Linked DNA regions of Caenorhabditis elegans. The protein of the gene in region 3 purifies or fractionates together with the protein of the main gene of each other region. This does not show direct contact. Each region holds a gene or a part of one and is shown on either strand. Other genes may lie near its edges.

What was found.
Region 1: the proteins of rpt-3 (region 3) and pbs-1 fractionate together in Caenorhabditis elegans (co-fractionation; one large-scale study listed by BioGRID). This does not show direct contact.
Region 2: the proteins of rpt-3 (region 3) and rpn-1 fractionate together in Caenorhabditis elegans (co-fractionation; one large-scale study listed by BioGRID). This does not show direct contact.
Region 4: the proteins of rpt-3 (region 3) and fasn-1 fractionate together in Caenorhabditis elegans (co-fractionation; one large-scale study listed by BioGRID). This does not show direct contact.

Annotation. Positions count from the first base shown.
Region 1 is NC_003282.8:1,707,538-1,712,094, forward strand, and holds pbs-1 (Proteasome subunit beta), read right to left. Parts: upstream 2,209-4,557; 5' UTR 2,206-2,208; coding exon 2,128-2,205; intron 2,083-2,127; coding exon 1,883-2,082; intron 1,818-1,882; coding exon 1,367-1,817; 3' UTR 1,266-1,366; downstream 1-1,265. Other genes in the region: pugs-4 (C6 domain-containing protein), read left to right, coding at 1-82, 878-997; K08D12.3 (CCHC-type domain-containing protein), read left to right, coding at 2,730-2,829, 3,029-3,384; rpi-2 (Protein XRP2), read left to right, coding at 3,742-3,863, 4,052-4,163.
Region 2 is NC_003282.8:6,904,526-6,911,597, reverse strand, and holds rpn-1 (26S proteasome non-ATPase regulatory subunit 2), read left to right. Parts: upstream 1-1,684; 5' UTR 1,685-1,693; coding exon 1,694-1,792; intron 1,793-1,853; coding exon 1,854-2,578; intron 2,579-2,625; coding exon 2,626-3,565; intron 3,566-3,640; coding exon 3,641-4,480; intron 4,481-4,526; coding exon 4,527-4,637; intron 4,638-4,682; coding exon 4,683-4,824; intron 4,825-4,873; coding exon 4,874-4,962; 3' UTR 4,963-5,178; downstream 5,179-7,072. Other genes in the region: ribo-1 (Dolichyl-diphosphooligosaccharide--protein glycosyltransferase subunit 1), read right to left, coding at 1-687, 751-915; T22D1.17 (Col_cuticle_N domain-containing protein), read right to left, coding at 5,219-5,338, 5,428-5,601; T22D1.5 (EF-hand domain-containing protein), read right to left, coding at 6,199-6,356, 6,409-6,908, 6,957-7,072.
Region 3 is NC_003281.10:6,487,456-6,492,484, reverse strand, and holds rpt-3 (putative 26S proteasome regulatory subunit 6B), read right to left. Parts: upstream 2,693-5,029; 5' UTR 2,687-2,692; coding exon 1,972-2,686; intron 1,923-1,971; coding exon 1,798-1,922; intron 1,712-1,797; coding exon 1,307-1,711; 3' UTR 1,203-1,306; downstream 1-1,202. Other genes in the region: srb-11 (Serpentine receptor class beta-11), read left to right, coding at 1-116, 162-263, 584-877, 923-1,117; Chitin binding domain containing chtb-2, read right to left, coding at 3,610-3,741, 3,789-3,950, 3,997-4,137, 4,185-4,359, 4,526-4,735, 4,779-5,029. UniProt on the Caenorhabditis elegans protein: The 26S proteasome is involved in the ATP-dependent degradation of ubiquitinated proteins. The regulatory (or ATPase) complex confers ATP dependency and substrate specificity to the 26S complex.
Region 4 is NC_003279.8:8,982,630-8,988,878, forward strand, and holds the start of fasn-1 (Fatty acid synthase), read right to left. Parts: upstream 3,912-6,249; 5' UTR 3,894-3,911; coding exon 3,825-3,893; intron 2,155-3,824; coding exon 2,072-2,154; intron 1,725-2,071; coding exon 1,489-1,724; intron 1,216-1,488; coding exon 965-1,215; intron 873-964; coding exon 641-872; intron 587-640; coding exon 79-586; intron 23-78; coding exon 1-22.

The DNA.
Region 1 (4,557 bases), on a different chromosome or scaffold from region 3:
CAACACTCATGCTCAGGGAGCAACTGTGGCGATAACGTGTACGACGGGCGGCCAAGCGGCCACAGTTGAAGGATACGACCAGGTGAGTCCAGTTCCGTTGCCATTGGAGTTTCGGAAGACAAAAAGAGCAAAAAATAATTCGTATAGTGGTCAAGAATATGAATTATTTAGTTTTTTTGTCCTGAAAATATAATTTTTCCAGGCCCAAATTCCGGGAAGACTTGCGAAATTCAGATAAAAATTTAATGTTCTTGAATTTTGTGCATTTTTTTTATTTCATAGAAAAGATTGAGAAATTTAACCAAAAATTTTAATGCAATTTTCTGCTTTAAAAAATCCAGAAAATTTTTCAAATTATCAGCGAAAAATCGGATTTTTAATCGAATTTCTTGGTAATTTGGTCTCGACGCGACACATGTTCCTTAAATGCAAAAAGGTGTGCGCCTTTAAAGAGTACTGTAGATTCATACTTTTGGTGCAGCGGAATTTTCAACGATTTTTTGTTATTTTTCGATTCAAAATAGTATTTCATTTTTAAAAAATTACAAATGTAAAGTAAAAAGTACGAAAAACTATGAAAAATCGATGAAAATCGCGCAGAAACAAAAATTTGAAACTACAGTACCCTTTAAAGGCGCACACCCGTTTGTATTTAACGGAAAATAATCGTGTCAAGACCGGGTAACGCATTTTTGGCTCCAAAATCGATTTTTTTTTTCTTAAATTTCCTCTGATTTTCGAAATTTCGGGGATTTTTTTAGAATTTTAGAAAAAATTACAATTTTCGCTGAAAATCCGCAGACTTTCCGTATCTTTTCAGCTGTGAAAACTAAGAAACCACAAGGAACAATTATTTTTATTTTTCTTAATTTTTCAGCAAAGAGCTTCAATCTCAGCGGCTCCGTCTCTGCTCGCCACTTGCACAAACGTTGGCGGCTCCCAGTACACGTGGACGATCCTTGGCAGAATTTTGCAGTTCGTCGATTGCAGATTTTAATTTCTAATTTCCCCCAATTTTTTTTTTGAATATTCTCCTCCCTAGAGATACTCGCCCATTGCAATATTTTCGTCTTTCCATAACCTGCCACGTGTATATTTTCGCAATTTATGAACTCTTTCTGTTAAATTAACTCTAATAAATCGCTTGACGTTCCACGTGACCAGTTTCCCGGAGGAGAATACCGGTCAATTGCGTAGCTTGGCTAACCAATTACTGCACTTTTGACATAGCAGCGGTAGCAGCAGCAGCATTGAAACGAAAATGATGACAAGTGTGAATTTTCATAAATATTGAGGGAAATCAAATAACTTAGCAGTATAGTCGCACAGGGGAAAATACAATAGAAGATCGAAAAACGAAACGATTTTAGAGGACTTGTTCGATGTGCGGTGGGAAAGAGAGATGTGGAGTTGGTGTCTGCACGAATGGGAATCCTGGTTTGTCGGGACGGAACAGCTCGAACTGTGAGCCGGCTTTGTTGATCACGGCGAGACGGACAACTCCGCCGGAGGATCCGTCACGGAAGGTGGCGAGTCCGACGGCTTGCTTCACGATCGCCTTGCACTCCTCGAGCGTCAAGTTTGGTCTCCATTGACTGTCGAGGAAGCCCTGCACGAATGTGGAACCGGAGCCGGAAGCTGTCGATCGCTGGCGGGACACGAATCCTCCGATTGGGATTGCGTAGACCTGGCCGCCGAGCTCCTCATCCCAGCCGGCGACGAGCACTGAGGCGGAGAGCTGCTCGCGGTAGTTGTAGAGGAATTGGCGGAAAATCTGGCTCGAGCGGTAGATTGTCACTGGCTTGTTCTCTGTCATGCTGAAAAAAGTGATTATTTAAAAAAATTATTTTATTTAATTTTAAAACAACTGAAAATTCCTTACGTATAAACATCAATATGGTACTTGGCAATATCGGCGATCGCTTGAGTGTCCGCTGCAGATCCAGAACGGCACACAACCATATTATCGGTGATCGGGGTGATTTTGTTGGTGGCACGGGAGGTGATGAACGAGCCGGCGCTGGTTCTCGAGTCGGTTCCGACGACAACTCCACCGTTGTACTCCATAGCGATGAGAGTGGTCTGAAAATTGAGCTTTTAGTGGAAATTTCAATTTAAAAATCTCACTCCAGTGCTGATTTCTTCCTGTGGATAGAACCCGATTGCCGGAATGGCTTTGCGCTTCTCATCTCGCATAGTATCCATTATCTGCAAAATATCGACTTAAATTCATTTTTTAAAAGTTATTTTAACGTTAAGAAATCAATAATAATGTATAAAAACAAATTTAGTAGTTATTTTTCAGAATAAAATCATTAAAAACGAGAAACCCGAGCAGAAAAAACATTGTCATCAAATCTCAATGCAGCAAAAATGACGTTTGAATTGGCGCTCCACCGGACTGCCTGCACATCTAACTTTCCTGGCACGCGGCCAACATTCGATTTTGGGACGATCGACACGTTCTGGCCACATTTTCTTTGATTTTTTCTGATTTCGCCGACTTTTTTCCCGTTAAAACTGGTTTTTATAACTAGTTTTCCATGTATTTATTAGTTTTTGTCATGTTAGTCACTGAATATCCATGATTTCTCGCCCTCACTGTCTTGGATTTTTGTTTCTCTGAATTTTCGCCATTTTTGATTGAAATTGTGACATTCAACCGTTTATTTTTTTGTAATTCCTCGCAACTGATAATTTCTTTTTTCTAAAATCAATTATTTGCAGTAATGTCGGACAGAAATTGCTACAAGTGCCAACAGCCGGGACATATCTCCCGCAACTGCCCGAATGGCGAGTCCGATGGTGGACGTAGAGGAGGTGGAGGAGGTGGAGTGGTGTTGAATTTGGGGTGTTGAGTTGATTTAGGTAAATACATTATCTCTTGATTTCTTACCGAATTGCAATAATTTTTGAAGTTCTGGAGAAGTGGAGGCGAAGAGAAATGTGTTTAAGCTGGCGGAGATTAGGAGTTATTTGATGATAAATTTACAGCGGAAATCTCGAGACTAATTTCATGTTATTTCAGGATCCACCTGCTACAACTGCCAAGAGACTGGACACTTCTCTCGCGATTGCCCCAAGGGAGGATCCGGAGGAGGACAACGTGGAGGTGGCGGCGGCGGTGGATCGTGCTACAACTGCGGAGGACGTGGACACTACTCTCGTGACTGCCCATCCGCCAGATCTGAGGGAGGAAGCGGTGGCTACGGAGGCCGCGGTGGAGAAGGCAGAAGCTTCGGCGGACAAAAGTGCTACAATTGCGGACGCTCCGGGCACATTTCCCGCGAGTGCACCGAGAGTGGCTCGGCCGAGGAGAAGCGTTGCTACCAGTGCCAGGAGACCGGACACATCTCCCGCGACTGCCCAAGCCAGACCAACTAAATCAATCATCATTCCCCCCATTTTCGTTGTCTTTTCATTGTTCTGTAACTCGAAATAATGTATTCAACTGAAACTTTCGTTCACTCCTTTTTCCAATAATCCTCTTCCCCGCATCTCAAATATTATATGTGAATGCTGGTTGCAGCTATTATCCCCCATCCCAACCTCTGAACCTCTTGAACGAAAGTGGTAATAAATTGTTGATTAAAGTCGTCGTCTTGCGCTCCTCCTCTTTCGCATCGGAAGTGAAGGCGACGTGATGCTCTCACATGGGTTTCCATAGCAACGCGCGCTCTCGCCGAGCAACTCGCGCTGCTCATTCACTCACTTTCGCATATTCTGCGGGAGCCTCGAACAATGAGCTGTTGTTTTTCGAAAAAGCTTTTTGGGCGCCGGTCTAAACGTGAGGATCGCTACAAGGTCAGCGAGGATGCGGTGCCGAAACCGGAAGAGGGAGGTGAACCTCCAAAGTATTCGTGGTAAGTGGAATTTGTGGTCTCGCAGTGAATTTTTTAAAAAAATTCGATTTCGCTGCAAGACCTGTTGCAATCATTTTGATAGCGCCTCTCTGAGGTTTCTAGGTTTCGTTTCTTTAGATATTTAGGTCTGGAATTCAAAAAAAGATTAAAGGCGCATCGCTGCGGGACCCGAAAAATTAATTTTTAAGGGATCGTCGAGAAAAAGTTAATGCCGAAGACTTTACAATTGCGAATATCCATAACACGACTCTGAAAAAGGAGTCGAAAGATGGTGGACCACTTCAAATGGAGAATTGCACGGTACGGTTTAAAGGCGCACGTATCGTGGCGAGACCCGATAATTTCTTTTATAAACTGATACAATAATTTAAAGTGGAAAAGGAGTCTCAGCAATTTCCGAAAAATAAAAATATCGTTAAAGAAAAGAGCGGAATTTGAAATTCCCTTCCGCATTTTTTAAAACATTTAATTTTCAATAAGATTTTATCAATCTCCCGTATACTAAATTTTCCGATTTTTGATGTGAAAATACGGTACCCGTTCTCGACACGGCAATTTTTTTAAAACACAAAAACGTGTGTGCCTTTAAAGAGTACTGCATACATACTGTAATTTCAAACTTTTGTTATTCCGGGGTTCTTATTAATTTTTCATCGTTTTTCTATCATATAAAAATATGTTTATTTACTTTTTA
Region 2 (7,072 bases), on a different chromosome or scaffold from region 3:
AGAAATGTTTCCGATCTCATCACGATAATAGATATCTTTAGCTTGAGCAGGAAGAACTGTGGTAAACTGTTGGAGTGCTGGTTGGCGACGTCCACGACGGTCCATTTGGTAATCGATTCTTGAGAATGGACCATCAAGCTCAGCTCCCTTGTGAACCAATTCAATGTACTCCTCCACAGCGATGTTTCCCCAGTGAGAAACCTCGATGAATCTTTCCACGATGGTGGCAATAACGAATGGCGAGTTATTTTCATAATGAACTTTGACTGGTTTCGTCTCAAAAGCTGGGATATTAACATATGGTCCGTAGATGACACGTTCCGTTTCTTGTTTCGATGGAGAAACTGTGGTTGCGGATAGAAGCTTGCCTCCTTGAGTGGTTCTAATAGTTGTTTTTTGGGTCACAGTTTCGTACAGGGAAGGAACGTATGCAGATGTGTGAAGAACAACAAATTGACTGTCAGATTGCTGAATCTTGGATGGGAGTGGCTCAAGTACTTGTGTGATACGAAGATTGATTCTTATGGTAACTTTGGCTCCCTTGGCAACAGGAGTTCGGAGGTCTACTTCGTAAACTGCAAGATCCTTTTCGGCTGGTTTTTCAGAAATTTTCAATTTTCCTTTGCTTCCATCGATTCCAGCAGAAATGAAAGAAAGAGTAGCAGATTCTTCTTTAGACAAAGCAATCTGAAAAATAAAGTTGAAATATAGGAAATATAGTGAATTTTCAGGAAAAATATATCTACATACCAAAACTTTCGATTGAGGTCCATTTCCAACGTTCTCAAATGAATACAATGTCGAAACCTTGACAATTTGTGACGTGGCATCGATGGTTCGGTCAACATTAGCGGCTTTCCAAGCGTCTTCAGCGAAAACCGCCCCCAGGAGAGCGATGGCAAATAGCAATCGCATCTGGAAAAATTAGATATACAATCAAAAATGCAGAAAACCCAAAAATGTCATATTAAAACGTTTCAAGAATGAAATTCGACTGATCGAGCAAGACGACATCTATTTGGAATTTAATTAATCAGCTCGTGTTAAAAAATTATCTATTATTACAATCTCAGCACAGAGTAACTTTATTTTGTCACAAAATCATTTAGCAGCAAAAATTCGCATGTACAGACTAGAAAAATGATATTTTTGTTTGGTGAAATCAGCAAAATTCATTATAAGAGCAAATTTCAAGTGTATTATATTGATTTGATGCATAAATTCTGCGAAAATCTATCTTTAAATTACAATAATTTCAGCAAAAAAAAGAGAAAGACGTGGTAAACTCGTCCACGTATTTTGAATCGGAGCCATTCGTGGCGAGACCCACCAGCCGGCATGATGACTGCGCCTTTAAACAAAGTCTGTTCAAATTATCATTTTTTCCGCGAACCGGCGCGGATTTTCAGATTTTCTAATCCAATTGTCATCGTTTTGTTGTTTTTTTATTCTTTTATTCGGATTAGATGTATTTCACTCTTAGTTTCTATTCCTTTTTTCCAAACTCTGACTCTCAAAATAGTTATTTTTCGATGTTTTCATAAAGTTGAAAAATATTCACGTTTTCGAGGGAATTAGTATTTGAATACGCTGTTATAGTTTCTTCGTGACTTAACTGTTTTGTTAATTCTATAAAATTCATTTCGAAATCTCAGCTTCTCTTTCGAATACATATATTTTGAAGGATCGAAAAATGGTGGCGACTACTCAACAGACACCAAAAGAGGCGGACAAAAAGAAAGCCGACGATAAAAAAGTTCCCGAGAAAGCTGAGCCAAAAAAAGAAGAGATGGTTAGTTTAAAGAATAACTATTGTTTAAGCCGTAATGAGACTTATAGCTTATTTATTTCAGAGCGAAGAGGATCAAAAACTCGAGGAGGATCTCAATCTTCTTGTTCAGCGTTTATCTGAACCGGACACAACACTTTACAAGCCATCACTGGAGACTATGCGGACATTGATTCGTGCTTCAACCACATCGATGACCTCTGTTCCAAAACCTCTCAAGTTTATGCGTCCGCATTACAATAAAATGAAGGAGATTTTCACATCGATCGTGGCGCCTGACGTTAAGAAACTTTGCGCAGATATCATTTCAGTGCTCGCAATGACATCAGATGAGCGAACCGACACGATCAACTATCGTATTCTTGGATCACACGAGCCGATCGGGGATTGGGGACATGAATACGTTCGTCATTTGGCGATGGAAATGTCAGAGGAGTGGAAGAAGGAAGGCACTTCGGATGCGAGAAAAGCTGAACTCCTTAAGTTGACTCAGGATATTGTCAGCCATCACATGAAACACAACGCAGAAGTTGAAGCGTGCGATTTGCTCATCGAAATTGAGCGTATTGATTTGCTGATCTCTTATGTCCAAGAAGTTGATCACCAACGTGTGTGCCTTTATCTTCTTTCATGTGCCCCATTGACTCCAGACCCGGATAACATTATTCTTATTCGCACTGCTCTCCAACTCTATTTGAAATTCAACCGGTATCTTGAAGCTGTTAGATGTGCTATCATGGTCAACGATATTCCACAGGTTCATCAAATATTTGCGAAGGCATCTGACCCGTAAGTTAAATATAACGTCTCTTACTTTCCTAAAGAAAAGTTTTCAGATTGCTTCGAAAGCAAATGGCTATCTTGCTCGGTCGCCATCAGATTTTCCTTGACTACGAGGGATCTGCAGATTCGGATGCTCTTGCCGAACTGAATTCCAATGCTCATCTCTATGAATACTTCCACTCCTTGGCTCGTGAGCTCGACATTATGGAGCCTAAAACTCCAGAAGGAATTTACAAATCTCATTTGGAACATTCCCGGCCATTCGGAAACTCTGCTCAGCCAGACTCTACTCGCATGAATCTCGCCGCTGCGTTGGTGAATGGATTCGTGAACTGTGGATTCGGAGTTGATAAAATGATGGCTGAAACAGAGGAAGCCTCCAGATGGTTCTACAAGAACAAGGAATATGGAATGCTTACTGCAGCCGCCTCACAGGGTCTTATCTGGAGATGGGATATCGATACCGGCCTGGCACAATGCGACAGATTCTTGTATATCAATGACGATTATATCAAGGCTGGAACCCTTTTGGCTATTGGTATTATTTCCTCTGGAATTCAAGATGCTTGTGACCCTGCTTCCGCACTTCTCCTTGATCATGTTCAATCTGATCGGTCAATTATGAGAGTAGGATCAATTCTTGGACTTGGACTTGCCTACGCTAATTCCAAAAGAGAAACCGTTACAAAGAATGAGGAACGCGGTGTTATTTTCGAGCTCAAGAAAGTTCTTTCTGATCAAAAGCCATCGGCTATTCCTGAAGTTAAAGGACTTGCTGGACTTTCTCTTGGCCTCATTCTTGTTGGAACTGCTGATGCGGAAGCTGCGATGGAGATGCTTCAAGCTCTAATGGATAAAAGCGAAACTGAGCTCACAGATCCAAATATGCGTTTCCTTGCATTGGGAATTGCATTGATCTTCTTGCAAACTCAGGACAAGAGTGATGTGTTTGTCGAAAGTCTCCGTTCACTTCCTGATCCATTTGGAGCGATGGTAAGTATTATTTGTTCTAGATCACCTCGAGTTTTGGCTATTCCCTTGTTCATATCATAATGAATACAATTTCAGGTTTCTACGCTCGTTGAAGTTTGTGCATACGCAGGAACTGGAAATGTTTTGAAAATCCAGAAATTGCTCCATCTCTGCTCTGAACACTACGAGACGCCAGCAGCTGAGAAGAAAACTGCCGCTTCTCGTGGACCGCGTGGACCAGCCCCAGCTGCTGCTACACCTGCTCGTCCTGCTGCGCAACCTGGAAATGTCAACGTCGCTGGCACTCCAGCCCCAACTGGAACACCCGCCGTTGCCCCAGCTGCTCCGAGACGCGACCTTCCAGGAGCCGCAAGTGCTGCTACACCAGGAGCTCCAGAGACTGCTGCCGCCGACGCTACTCCAGCACCACCTGCCAAGCCAGACTTGTCATCGCAACAGGCGGTTGCTGTACTCGGAATTGGTCTGATTGCTATGGGAGATGACATCGGATCTCAGATGGCTCTTCGCATGTTCGGACATCTCATCAGATATGGAGAACCAGTTATCCGTCGTGCTGTTCCCTTGGCGTTGTCACTTCTCTCCGTCTCAAATCCTCAATTGAACATTTTGGAAACTCTGTCCAAGTTCTCTCACGATTCTGACGCTGATACCGCTCACAATGCTATTTTCGCGATGGGACTTGTTGGAGCAGGAACAAACAATGCTCGTCTTGTTGCTATGCTCCGAAACCTGGCTTCTTATCACTACAAGGATCAAGTTTCTCTAATGCTGGTCAGAATTGCACAAGGACTTACTCATCTCGGAAAAGGAACAATGACGTTGAACCCATGGCATTCTGATAGGCAATTATTGTCTCCAAGTGCTTTGGCTTCTCTCCTTTCAATTTGCTTCTCTTTCCTCGACGCCAATAACACGGTTAGTGCAAGATTGATATTTCTACCATAATTTATTTCAAATTTAGATTCTCAACAACCGTCAGCATTACTTGCTCTACACGTTGGTGCTCGCAATGCAACCAAGAATGCTTACCACACTGGTAGAAGACGAAATGAAGCCTGGAAGCTTGAAACAGGTATAATTTTTTTAAAAGTTTCAACTCTCCAATGTGATTTTACAGTTGAACGTTTCTGTTCGTGTTGGTCAAGCCGTTGACGTTGTTGCTCAAGCCGGAAAGCCAAAGACAATCACTGGATTCCAAACTCATACTACGCCAGTCTTGCTTGCCCATGGTGAACGTGCCGAGTTGGCGAACGATGAATGTATGCCATCCTAACATTTGATAATTAATTTTTAACTAAAATATTTCAGATCTCTCTGTGACTCCACATCTTGAAGGATTGGTTATTTTGAAGAAGAATCCAGATTATCAGCCGGTTGTTGTATCAACTAAGAAGTAACCAACAAATTTATGGATCTAATTTATTTTTCTCCCCCTTTTCTCCCATCTAAATTATCCGTTTTGACCCGTTTTATTGTGCACAATCCGATTGCATTCGCTCTCTGCCCGATTTCCCGTTTTTCTGTCAATTTTCCCTCTCCCTCATCATTTTTTCTTTGAAAAAAACGTGTACACTTTAAATTTGAGTGGGACGGTATTCGAGTAAATTATTACTTTCAATCTTATCATCCTGGGTTTTATATATGTATTAATATTTATTGATCACAGGAATTTGAAGATCTTCTAGGTATCCTTATCAAAGTATCGAATATATCAGAAAATCCGTCAAGGTGGCGATTGTTCGACATTAGATTTTCAGCATCGTTCGCATACATCTGGAAATAAAATTTAGAATGTTCAAATGTGAGTTTGGAAATTTTAGTTTTTCAGTTTTTAGAAAAGTTTAATGAATTATTACACTCACCTCAAAAGTAGCCTTTTTATCCATAAAAACATCTTTCATTTCATCAATTTCATTAATAATATCACTTGTCAAATATATAACAACAAGTGTCATAATTGCCATAAAACATAAAATTCCAATAGCAGCAAAATCAGCGATGAAACGAAATTTGTATAAAAATTCGGATGTATTCATAGTTTCGAAAAAACTATAAAGTTTCAAAATTTGATGTATTAAATGGAAAAGTAATAGAAAGAAGAAGCAAATGACCAATACAATTAGACAAAGAATTGAAAACTACAGAAAACAGGTGATAAAAGATAAGAAAAAGTGAAGAGATTTAGAGATATTTGTAGAGACTAACCAGTTTGACGAACTATAGAAGTGAATTGTGTAAACTTTTAGACTTTTTGTGATTCAAAAAAAAACAGTTTGAACATTTGAAATCACAGTATTATTTAAAGGTGCAGTGTTTAGCAAAAAATTATCGTAACGAGACCCGGTCACCATATTTCCGGCACAAAAATCTAACAAATAATGTTATAAGCCCATTTCATAGTTTTTAACATTTCCCACCAATCTAATCGTTTTGAAAACCCATTAATTTTTTTCAAAAATATTCTTGCAGGTTCAGTAAAACGAGATGAGCAGGAACAATCTTATTGTTTACATGAATCCGCCTGACATTTTACAAGAATACTGAAATTTGTGAAAATTGCACATAAGATATGGGACCAGGCGATTAAATACAATAGGGAATGATTATCTGACATGATTAAACTTTAGGATTACTTAAACAGGATTTATTGGTTCGTTATTGATGTTGAACGACCCTGATGATGACGTGCTGGATTGAGCATAGTAATCGTCAAATTTGTGGTCGATCAAACGTTGCCAACGAGTCCGAACCATCCCAAATTCCTCATCATCTTGGCGTTCGGTGTTCGTTTCTGAAAGCAGTGTTATTAACATAAACAACCATTTTATCTTATTAAAACATACTCTCACAAATTTCCTGCTCAAGAAAGCGAAGAGCGCAGACAAAGCCATTGATCACTCTGAAGGCAAGTTGCGAGTTCTTTTTGAATGATTGCAGATTCCATTTGTCTGTGCCAAGGATGTCCCGAAATTGAGCGATAGCGTTTTCGAACGGCAGGGATTGCACATTGTTATTGACAAGAAACTTTGTGATGGCATCGTAGAACATCCGCAGGTCGTCCAATTGAAGGATTCCTGTAGATTGCACATCAAGGACGCGGAACCAATACTCGATCGATTGATTCTCGTCAGTCCCAATCATCGCAAATATGAGCCACGTCACTTCTTTCGTATCGAGATAGTTTCCCGTTGAACGACGCACTAGGTTACTCGAGAAGATTCGGTCGACGATTATTGTTGGAATACCGGTTTCGTAGCAGTAAATGGCGATGGCATTCGAATCAAATATCTCATCCCATTTGCCAATATGATTGAGCTCGACTGCGCAGAGTTGTCCGGTGTGCCTACAATTTTAATAATTAAATGACTAATCTGAGATTATAGCCGATTACTTCATGTACCAATCCTCGCATGCATAACGCACGTAGTCATTTAGAAGATCTTTAGTCTTAACTTGAATCGTTCCCGTCCACGTTCGCCCAGCAGTCCAGAGTATACGCTCAGTGAC
Region 3 (5,029 bases):
CACTTTCTACCTTTTTCCCGTGCTCCGTTACAATTGAACGGTATTTTGCGATGGAAACGGCAGAAAAATATGAAAAGGCGTCGGTAGTTATGGGGCCAATTCTTGTTGGATTCAATGTAATTTCAAGTTTTTTTAGGTAAATTATTTATATGATTTTTCAGGTTCTATTGAACTTTTGTATTATCTTTAACATGTTAAAAGATGAAAGTTACACTGATGGAAATGTATCGTTTTCTGTTATTCCAGCAGTCGCTGCTCAGAAAGTAGGATGAGTTTTACAGTTTATTTTACCTATAAATTCAGATTTCTCTTTTATTATGTACATGCTCCTTTAATGATACAAAAACAGTAACTTAAAGGTGCATACAAAATAAGTTAAAAGAATGCATATCGCGATCTCGAGCGATATCGAGATCGCGGCAGGACCCATCCATATTATTGACCTGCCCTTGAAAATGGAAATTAGATATTTCTAAATTCGATTTACAATCGATATCGATTGTCAATCAAGAAACCTTTATGAAGTTATATGATCAAATTGAAAAAAATTAAAATAAAATTCACGATGAATCTTTTTTTTCAGGCGTTTACCTTTTTTATAATTATATTTTTCGTCAATCTCGTAGATGTTATATTTGATTTAATATTACTTCGAATGAATCTTAAATTGAAATTACAATTGAAAAATTCTTCACTTGCTGTAAAATATCAACTGGAAGAAGTCTATCAATCCACTAAATTTTCCGTATTTCTTATTTTAATTCATATTATTTCATTCGGGATTTATGTATCTGCTGTGGTATTTTTTCGATATTTCGGAAATCTGATAATTTCAGACCCCGACTCTTTATTCGGAGTCAGAACTTTTTCGACAACAGTGATGAATGAAAATTAAGAAAACACGATGAATAAAAAATTTCAGATAGTTCCTACATATAATTTCGTTATTGGAAGCTTCTCAAGTTTTTTTAACCGAATAAAATTGAAGAAGTCTGAGGGAGCAACTATTCAAATGTCTTCAACTGGAAAATCTGGAGCTAACAATTACGATCAAGCCATTTTTAGTATTTGGAACTCAGTTTCTGGACCAATCGACAGGAATGTTACATTAGTTTGAACTTATACCTACTATTATACTTACACCTACTGTTAATCTTGATTTTTTCACCAGAATGAATGTATGAAGATTTTGAACGTTCGGTGAAGAGCAAATTGTTTATGCGAGACACGGTGTAAATACAATAAATTATAGTAAAAATATGGTTCACAGGACGAACTGGAGGGTCATCGGAGAGTAACTCGTGGTTTACTTGTAGAACTCGAAATCGTTGGTATCCTTCTTCACAACATTCTTGTAGGCCTTCTCAAGATCCTTGGTAAGCACAACGTAACGATTCTCACGAACGGCTTGCATACCAGCTTCTTGACAGATAGAGTTGATATCAGCTCCTGAAATCTTGTCTGGACGAGCAACCCAGTCTTCCAAATCAACATCATCCGACAGGTTCATACGAGAGCAGACGGTTGAGAATACGAGACGCTTTTGACGACGATCTGGCAATGGGAACTCAATCTTACGATCGAGACGACCTGGACGAAGAAGTGCAGGATCGAGAGTATCCTGTCGATTAGTGGCCATGATAACTTTCACATTAGTGCTTTGATCAAAACCGTCCATTTGATTGAGCAATTCGAGAAGAATACGTTGAACCTGGAAAAATACCACTTGTTTAACAAAACTTTTTTCTAGGGACCTAAAATTCGGAGAAAAAACTATCAATCTCGAAGTAATCTTACCTCACGATCTGCTCCGGTTTGAGCATCGAAACGTTTCGTAGCAATCGCGTCAATTTCATCGATAAAAATAATAGATGGGCTGTTTTCCTTTGCCAGACGGAAGACGTCACGCACCATTCGTGGTCCTAAAAGACTAAAAGTTACAATAATGGTGTTTTAAAACTTGATAATTACCTTCTCCAAGATATTTCTGTACAAACTCAGATCCAACAACGCGAATGAAGGAAGCAGCAGTATTTGCAGCAACAGCCTTCGCCAACATAGTCTTTCCACATCCTGGTGGTCCATACATGAGAACTCCTCTTGGGGGGTCAATTCCGATTTGTTGATAAAGTTCTCCATGAGTCAATGGAAGTTCGACAGCTTCTCTGACTTCTTGCTTCTGCATATCAAGACCTCCAATATCTCCATAAGAGATGTCAGGTTTCTCATCAGGACGAAGCATTTGAATGGAGCTGTCAGCCTCTGGTGGAAGAACATCAACAAGTGCGTTTGAATATTTATGAAGGGCCACCGAACATCCTGGCTTAAGCAGCTCACGATCCAAAATCGATAGAACACGGACATAATAGTTGGATCCGGTGGTGCTTCCAACGATAGCATGGTTTTGGTCCACAGCTTCCAGGAATTGTCCAATGACAAGTGGCACAGATTGAATACGCTTCACTTCTTCCTGAGCATGAAGCAATTCTTTTTCAAGGTTTCTTGTCTCCAGCTTGATATAGTCCTCCATAACTTGAAGATGCGCCAGTTGACGTTCCAGCGTTGTAAGCTTGATATAGTCGTCTGATGATACATCAACGCAGGTGGCTGGAAGTGGTGGCGGACGGAGAGAAGTATTCTCCTGTAATGGAGCAATACCGATTTCCTCCAAAGCAGCGGCAGACATGTTCCTAGAAATGAAAATTTAACGTTGTTGCAAAAAAATAGTTTCAGAAAATGTAACCACGGAACAGAATTATTTTCATGAAAAAGAAACGTCAAACTGCTATTTCGAAATATTTTTGTTTTAATTAATCAGCTTTACGAATCTGAACAGTACAAAAGCGTTTTTCATCCGAATAGTCATGAAAAAAACAGAAACGAAAATATGTCGTGCGTTTGTACTAATACATCGAACTACAATGTTTCGTTACCTCCTACGATGTGGTTTCAACTTACTTTTATTTCTTCTATTTGGGTGCATGCTAATATTTTTGAAGTATAACGCAATTGCGCGCAAGATATATGAAGACAAAATAAATTTACCCTATTACGAAGCTCAGAAAACAAACAGCTCAACTTTTAAACAACGCACATTTTCCATTTAAACTTTGAAATACTTTAGACACGTAACCAATAAGTACCGAAAACTTTAATACTAAACAAAACACTTAAATTTGTCACTTTATTATTGATTAAACGAATGGAGATCATATTATCACAAGTGGGGAACAGAAAGACTTTCGAAAACTAGGTAGAATGTGGAAAAATGAAAAAGGAAAGCAAATTTTGAGAAAAAAGAAAATGGCGGTGAAAAACATTTAAAAAAATATTTTGAGAAATCATCATCCGCAAATGTGCGTGACGGTGTTTGCAGTATTTGCGTACCCGACACCCAATTTGACGACAAAAAGAAATAAAGATTTTTAGCGAACAGAAATTCACAAAAATAAAAACTGCGAGCGACAAATACTTAATTGTTCTAAATAATTCACTAATTTTTAATTGTCATTGTATTAATTTTCTGAAAATTCACCATGAGGCTCGCAGTTTTCATTTTTACAAATTAAAATAATACAATTCTGCAAATAAATTATTTTAAAATTATAATTAATTTTTTTTCGTAATATTATCGCTATTTGATGACTTTAGCCGATCAATTGTTTCTTTTCGTAGCTTCTCATCGTTTTTTTGATCAGCCAATAAACGATCCAAGAACTGTTCAGTTTGGTTCAGAGCGATCTGAAATTGGAGAAATAAGAATCTCAATTTTTTAATAAAATATTTACCTTTTTAAGCACAGGCTTGACTACACTTCCAAGTGATTGAGCTCCAGAGTTTTCATCGTGCATTTTAAAATTGAGTGATGGCAACATTCGACTTAAAAAATCTGGCTGAACACGTGGAAATAGTGGATGTATGTGGGAAAGATCAATTTCGGATTTTATGCTCTGAAAAATAAAGTTGTAAATACAGAATCTGTTAAATGTTCAGTACATTAGTTGATAGTGAGTTCTGGCTTTGAGAAATTTGATAGGAAACTGGAACATTCGAATTTGGAGCAATTGTTGGAGTTGGAGCAATTGGTCGAACAACTTGATGATTATGTCCTCCACTAACCACACTTCCATGAATGTGCTACAAGATGAGAATTTAAAAAATATTTTTGAAGTTAAATTATGTACATTTTGGTATTGTTGAGCATAGGTTTTTTCAGCTGTCGCTAATTCTGGAATCTTTGGAAGCAAATCCTTTGGGAACTGATCAATAGTACTGTAGATTTGAGGTTGGTGAGTTTCCGGGACAGGCGGATAAACTCGTGGCGGGGATATATGAGTTGGGAGTTGATGGTCAATCACTCTGAAAATCCAAAAAGTCATGGCAATCGATTTGAAGTTGGAAAAACAGTTTTCGAAAAAAATGCTTTGAAAAATTTGCTATCTGTTGTTTCTCGGATCAATTTGATGAGCTGCTACGAGTTTTCCAATTATTTATAAAATTTAAATAACTTCTATCAAAAACTAACCTATTACCCTTCCACTCAACAAATGAAGTCTCCGAAGGTAGTCTTGGAATCACGACTCGATTGTCTGGATCATATGGTTTACGAGTTTCTTCTCCCTTTTCACATCTTCCAATTGATACAATAAATATCAAAGTATCTGGACAATATCTTTCAGTCCATCTTCCCAACCTACCGTACAATGGAGCACATTGAAGATACATTGATGGAGATCTAAAATAAAATGTTGATATTTCTTCTGAAAAGGAGCCCTTACCTTGGATGAGCACAGAACGAATCAACGTCATATTTCAGTTCGCATTCTCCATTCACTTGACATTGACTATGAATAATTGGAATTCCCGGGGTTTCTTCTTCTGCAGTAACCGTATTCCATGCTGGATTCCATGTTGGTGAAGGTGTCGCCCATTCAGGTGACTGAGTTGTAAAACGAATCATATGAGACTCAACATCTGGTGGTCGATATTCCGAGATATCCGGACGATAGATAGGCTTGATTGTGGTTAT
Region 4 (6,249 bases), on a different chromosome or scaffold from region 3:
TTCTTGAGTTCTTCCACAGTAACTGAAATATTTTACGTTCAAAACTGTTCTGAATCTAGAAATATATTTTTAACTTACGTGACAAGTTTGGTGAATGGATGTGGGGTGATTGGTGGAGCTATATGATCAGCAGCCTTCAAGATGACGTGAGTGTTAGATCCTCCGAATCCGAAAGAGTTGATTCCAATAAGTCCTCCTGGAAGTGCAGTTGGCTCCGTGACAACCTTCAAGCGCCCGTCGGTAAGTCCCGGAATGTACTGATTTGGAGTATTGTAATGCAAATTTGGTGGAATCAATTGACGTTCAATGGAGAGAAGAATCTTGGTCAAAGAGCAAACTCCAGATGCTGGCTCAGCATGTCCCATGTTAGATTTGACTGAACCGATTAAAAGAGAATCAGTACGCTTGGAGCAGAAAACTTCACAGATTGCGTTGGCTTCCTGTGGATCTCCGACCTTAGTTCCAGTTCCGTGAGCCTCAACGTAGTAGACTGAGTTTGGATCGATTCCAGCCTCAGAATAAACTTCTTGAAGCAATTGAGCTTGTCTTTCTCCTGATGGGAAAGTGATTCCATGCTCCTTGTGCCCTAAAATTTAAATGTTTGAGAAAAACTCATGTTTTAATTCTGGAAAAAACTCACCATCAGTGTTAGACTTGGCGTGAACAACAGTTGCATAGAGTCTTTGAGCCTTCTTCTTGCGTTGAATGAAGATGGCTGCAACTCCTTCAGTACGACAATATCCATCACCAGATTCGTCGAATGAACGGCAGCTTCCCTTATCTGTGAGCATGCCCAATCTCAAGAATTGGAGAGCTGCAGTTGGAGTCAATGTGAGATGAGCTCCTGCGACAATAGCGGCGTCGCATTGACCCTGAATAATTAAATATTAGAATAATTTTTCATCTCAGATTGAAAGTAGAAATCATCATAAATTGAACTTGCATAAAAAACAAAGCAACGAACCTGTCTAATAGAGTCGACGGCAAGTTGAAGTGCCAAAAGTGAAGATGAGCAAGCGGTGTCCACCGAGAAAGATGGTCCTTGCAAATCGAATGTGTAAGAAATACGGTTAGAGAACATAGAACGCACACAACCCGTCAACGTGTAGCCCGTTACAGTATCTGGGTCTTGTGTGAGCATTCCAGAGGTTTCTGAAGCTGAACATCCAACAAAAACTCCTGTTTTGGATCCACGGAGGTCAGTGGGATTTATGCCTGAAATTTGAGTATTATTATTTAATTATTCCTTTTTTGTTTTTTAATTGAATAAGCACTGTTCTTTTCCCAATTTCTTTATTTGACTTGTTCAATATTCCAAAATCATAAAAGTGGAACATCCTACTTGCACGGGGTCAGTAGTGCGCGCGCATGACGGTCTCAAGGTTACCACCACAGCCCGGTACATCGGGGCACACTTTTTCCGATTTCCGTCTCCTTTTCCGAGGGAGGGATATAGATAGAGAATACGAGAGAGAAAAATGGACATACCCGCATCAACCATTGCCTCCCATGAAGCTTCAAGAAGTAGTCGAACTTGTGGATCCATGAAATTTGCCTGTTTTGGAGTAACTTGAAAAAAGCCCGCGTCGAATTTGTTCAACACTTTCAGTTTTCCATGTCTTTTTGGCAGATCGCAAAATCCTGGTGTCCATCTGAGAGAGTCTTCCGTTACCAGGTCTTCACCAGCAAGAAGCATGTCTCCGAACATTTTGACGTTATCGCATCTGAAAAAATTGGAACGTTTGACATATTTCAGTAAAATCGTGAACGGTTTCCGCAAAAACTTAAAAATAAGATTATTTAAAATTATTTGTAAAATTCTTAAAAAAAGTATATTTTACTTTGAAAGCTTAAATATCGGATTATTTTAAACATATCAACGGATGATCATTTTTACAGTTTTGTATAGGTCAAATTAAAATCAAATATTAGCAGTAAAAGTTGATGAGGTGCAGTTCTAATAGAGGAAACGGTAAATGTGATATTGTCAGTACTTTCAGATGGGTTTATTACATTACCCAATTACCGTTCTCATCCGTCATCAAAATTTTAGGTTTCAAAATAGATGTACCTTGGAAATCGGCCCGAGACTCCTGAGATTACGATATCGTCCTGCTTCTGCCACCATTGTGTTGGATCCATGTTGTCCGAAGACTGAAATTTTCAAAATTAGTTACAATTTTAAACCGTTTGAATACAAATCTAAGAATCGAAATGTGATAACAACCATCAAAGTGGTTCTATGAAACTTATTGATTTTAAAATCTCGAAATAGAACCAGACGGACAAAACACAAACACATACGCTCACTTGTGAATGAGGCATGTACTCAGAAATGACAAAAGAAGAGGTGAAGGGAAGATGGAAGAAAAGAAGAAGAATAAGATGACAACCGGACAACTAAGAAAACTAGGAAAACGAAGAAGATGCGGATACGGGCGCTCTGCTGCGCGGTAGAGATGGTAAAAGATAAAAAGAGAGGGACACGGGAACCGTCGAGACATTCGACGATCCGTTTAGGTTCTACGACGACAAATTTTCTAATTTTAGGGTAACAAGAGGTGAAAATTGAATTCCTTGGTTACGGTATCTTCCCACTCACTGAGGGATGTTTTGAGATATTTCAGAGTAATTATCACATTAAAAATCACGTCATACGAGTTTTATTCAAAAAGTGCAGTACTTACTCTAATCTATTTTAATTCAGTGTTTTTCTCAAGTTTCAAGATGTGTTCTGACACTAAAACAAAAGAAGTTGTTTGATTTATGACTGTAAGAGGAATGTATCTTTGTAGCCACGTGAAAAGTTAGAACTAACAATTAATTTTTAGTCAACTTTGAAAGCATTTATCTTGGCTCATTTTACTGGTGTCAAAAAATAATTAACTACAAAACTGTAGAAAATTAAATAACTAATAGTTTGTCAGTTGGTAATTTTTCGATAAAACAAAAGACAAGCTTTCAAAGTCAAGCAATGGTACAAGAAAAAATAATAAAGTACTCGCTGAAAGACCTTCTAGCATTTTCTCCATCAGACACTCATTGTGATTTATACTTGAAAAAAAGAAATGTTTTAGATTGCCAAGTGTGATAATTTGAATAACAAGTGGCGTGATTCATCTGAATTCGCTCACTCCATATTTATACCGATTCAACTATTTCATAACATGATGACTTAGATCACATGAATGAGCTAATCAAGACAATGAAAGTGATGACATTAATACCGGATCCATTCGTGCTTCTTCTTGTCCCGTGAGATAGAATCGGGTAATATCTAAACGACGAGACCGAGGCATTTCCAACATTCCATGTTAATCTACAAAGAAGAGAGAAAAGAGAAATAATAGGAACTCAAAGAAAGGTCGAGATGAGGAGAAGAGATTATCGATAGGAGAGGTCCTTTTTGCAGATGTGATGTCCCTGAGTTGTCCGTCGTCTTGTCAGTTACTGTGTGATCTAATCTCGGGGGCCGATACTGTATCTGATTGCTGTCGATCATCGTCCCTTCACCCGACACGACCCGACAAAAGTATGACGGAAAAAAGTCGCGGAGAAGTAAAGGAGGGAGATGTTTTAGGAAAGATAAACGATTGGGGATACAAGAAAAAAGAAGAAAAAGACGGAGAAAATGAGGAGAACAAAGTTTTCGGAATGGCCGCATTCTTTCGATCTGTTGCGTCTTTTAAGCCATTCCGTCTGCTCTCAGAACAGTGGGCGGAGAGGAGCAAGAAAAAAGTGACTGTACAAAATGAGATTGAATTCTTGAAGAGAGGTATAGAGAAATACAATAGAGGCGACTATAAATAAATATGTGAATTCACCTGAGAATTGTCCGAAATTCGCTCCCAAGTTCCACTCGAATCGGACGATCCTTCTCCAGTATTATCCATCGTTCGATAGCTGAAAAAAGGTTTATTTAGAGAGTTTTCAACAATTGACGAACAAATTAATAAGATTAATTGAAATAATTAATTATTGTTAAAAGTGCTAGAAAATAGTTATATCTATGTTTGCCTCTACCGTACTCATAGATAACATCTAAAACTGAACAAATCACAAAATTTCTTTCGATAAACCTGAAACTGTTGACATCATAGAGGTCAGCTACGTTCAGAACCGGTTTTTTCAACCATGTGTGATTGAGGTATGTTCGACCAAATATGAGTAACTTATTAAAGACGGGGTTTGAAAAGTAGTGAAGTATTCATTCTTATTTAGTCAAGTGATGAAAACCTTGAGTTTTTCGCTCAGCTGTATTTTGTTTCACCAGCAGAATTAATTCTAGATAATTTAGTTGAATTTAACGATTATCAATGCACTAGAAGCAGAATTTAGCTAAAAAAGAATCACAAAGTTGGGAAAAAAGAAGAAGAAGAAGTGTGTACATCTTCGTCGTTCTTTAACCATTCTTGGACATGGACTACACAAGAAGTAACAAGTGAAAGATGAATGGACGGGATGGGGGCGGTGAATCGTTGGTGGTTTTCGACAATGTCCTATCCGAGAGAATAGTCATAAAAGAGACAGAGATTCGACCTTGGGACATGATCGCATCGATGTAAACGGTGACCAAGCCCCGGGAGAGGAGGTCAGAACCTACTTATTATCCCCTCGTTGCCCCCTTATTCCGGCGATGTGGAATGTTTGTGTTCCCACCGCAACGAAAAGTTGCATTTGTGGTCAAACACGCCGTTTGCAGTTTTTGCAGTTCACGTGATTCTCTAATGAATCTTGAGAAAACGAAAAGAGAATCGCCAATTATTTTAAAGAATCGTCGGGACATAAAGGTGTTAAGTCAATCCCTTTTAAACAGATTGGAGATGACCCCATTTCTACGAAACAAGAAGATTTTGCAGCTAAAAGTTTAGAAGCACTTGATTGGTTTTTTTGGGGGAGAGAATCTGGTTTCGATGGAAAGGCAAATATAGTGCATCTGATCTTACTGATTTTGCACGATTATGATCAAAAATTGGCAGATTCTGAACTAAAACCATTTGATCTTTGTTTGCAAGAACTGCACTTTAGATATAATATTCTACATTTTATTTTGCTAAATACCTGGGACGAACGAGGTTACAGTTTTTGTGGCCGGTATTGTCATTGTGTGGGTTTTGGCTCATTAATTTTGATTTATCGATTTCAAAAATAGCTCAAATTTTGCATAATTCCAAGTGAAACGCCTATTGATGAAATCGTACCGCCACTTCGAAAAAAAAAAGAGAACTTTTGGAATATGTGTGTTTAATTAAATAATGTAATTTAAAGCCGACTCTGCTACTGGCATAATCTCTTAATAAATAATAAATAATGTTGCTAGACTGAAAGTTTGGAATTTTGTTGGTTTTTCACTGAACATCTATCCCTTCAAAGTGGCTTATCGCTGCTTTCCGTTCAAAACTACTCACAAAAATAATTAAAATGATTAAAAATAACGTATTAAAGTTTTTCAAAAAATTTGAAATGTTTTTATTTACAGTCAAACATTGGCAATATTTCAGGTTTCACATACTTGGAAATTAGCCAAAAACTATATTCAGGTTTTTTTAATTTAAAAGTTTCATGCGGGTTTACTCTACATATATTTCTTCAAAATCCTAACTGTTTCAAACAATATGGCATTGCCAGAACTTTGACTAACTTTTTTCGAAAATCCAAAATACTTAAAAAATTTAATTGGTTGTGCTATACTATTGTGGCTGCATTAGAACAAAATTCCCACAAACGCTACTCAATCTTCAAGAATTTTCAGAATTTCAATTATCTAGACGGAATGAAAAAGTGGCAAGCGGCGGCAAATTTCACAGCATCATAAAAATTTTTTTTATGATTGCGTGGGATGTTTGGCCAAGCAAAAGAAATTGTACAGAAAAAAATTGAAGAAAAATGGAAAAGAGGAAGATGGAAAATGCTACTTTTTACATTAAATTCAAAATCAAAACCTCCTCCCAATAACGTAATTGCCGCCACATTCTGGTTCTTCTATCATCAATTTGAAAATGTTTGAATAGGACCACACTTTAGAGACCGTTAACAATTAGAAAAACAACAAAATAATACTACAGTACTATATAATTTTGATGAAGAAAATAAACGTTTTTGAAACTAATTTTTGACTACTTTTTTGTTCCCATGCCTGTTAACATCAAGTGTTTTGAAAATGTTTGACAAACTATATGCTACGTCACAGACCAAGGGTGGTCTGATTGTGATCTATTCATCTAGAACAACCATCAGTGCAAACTACTT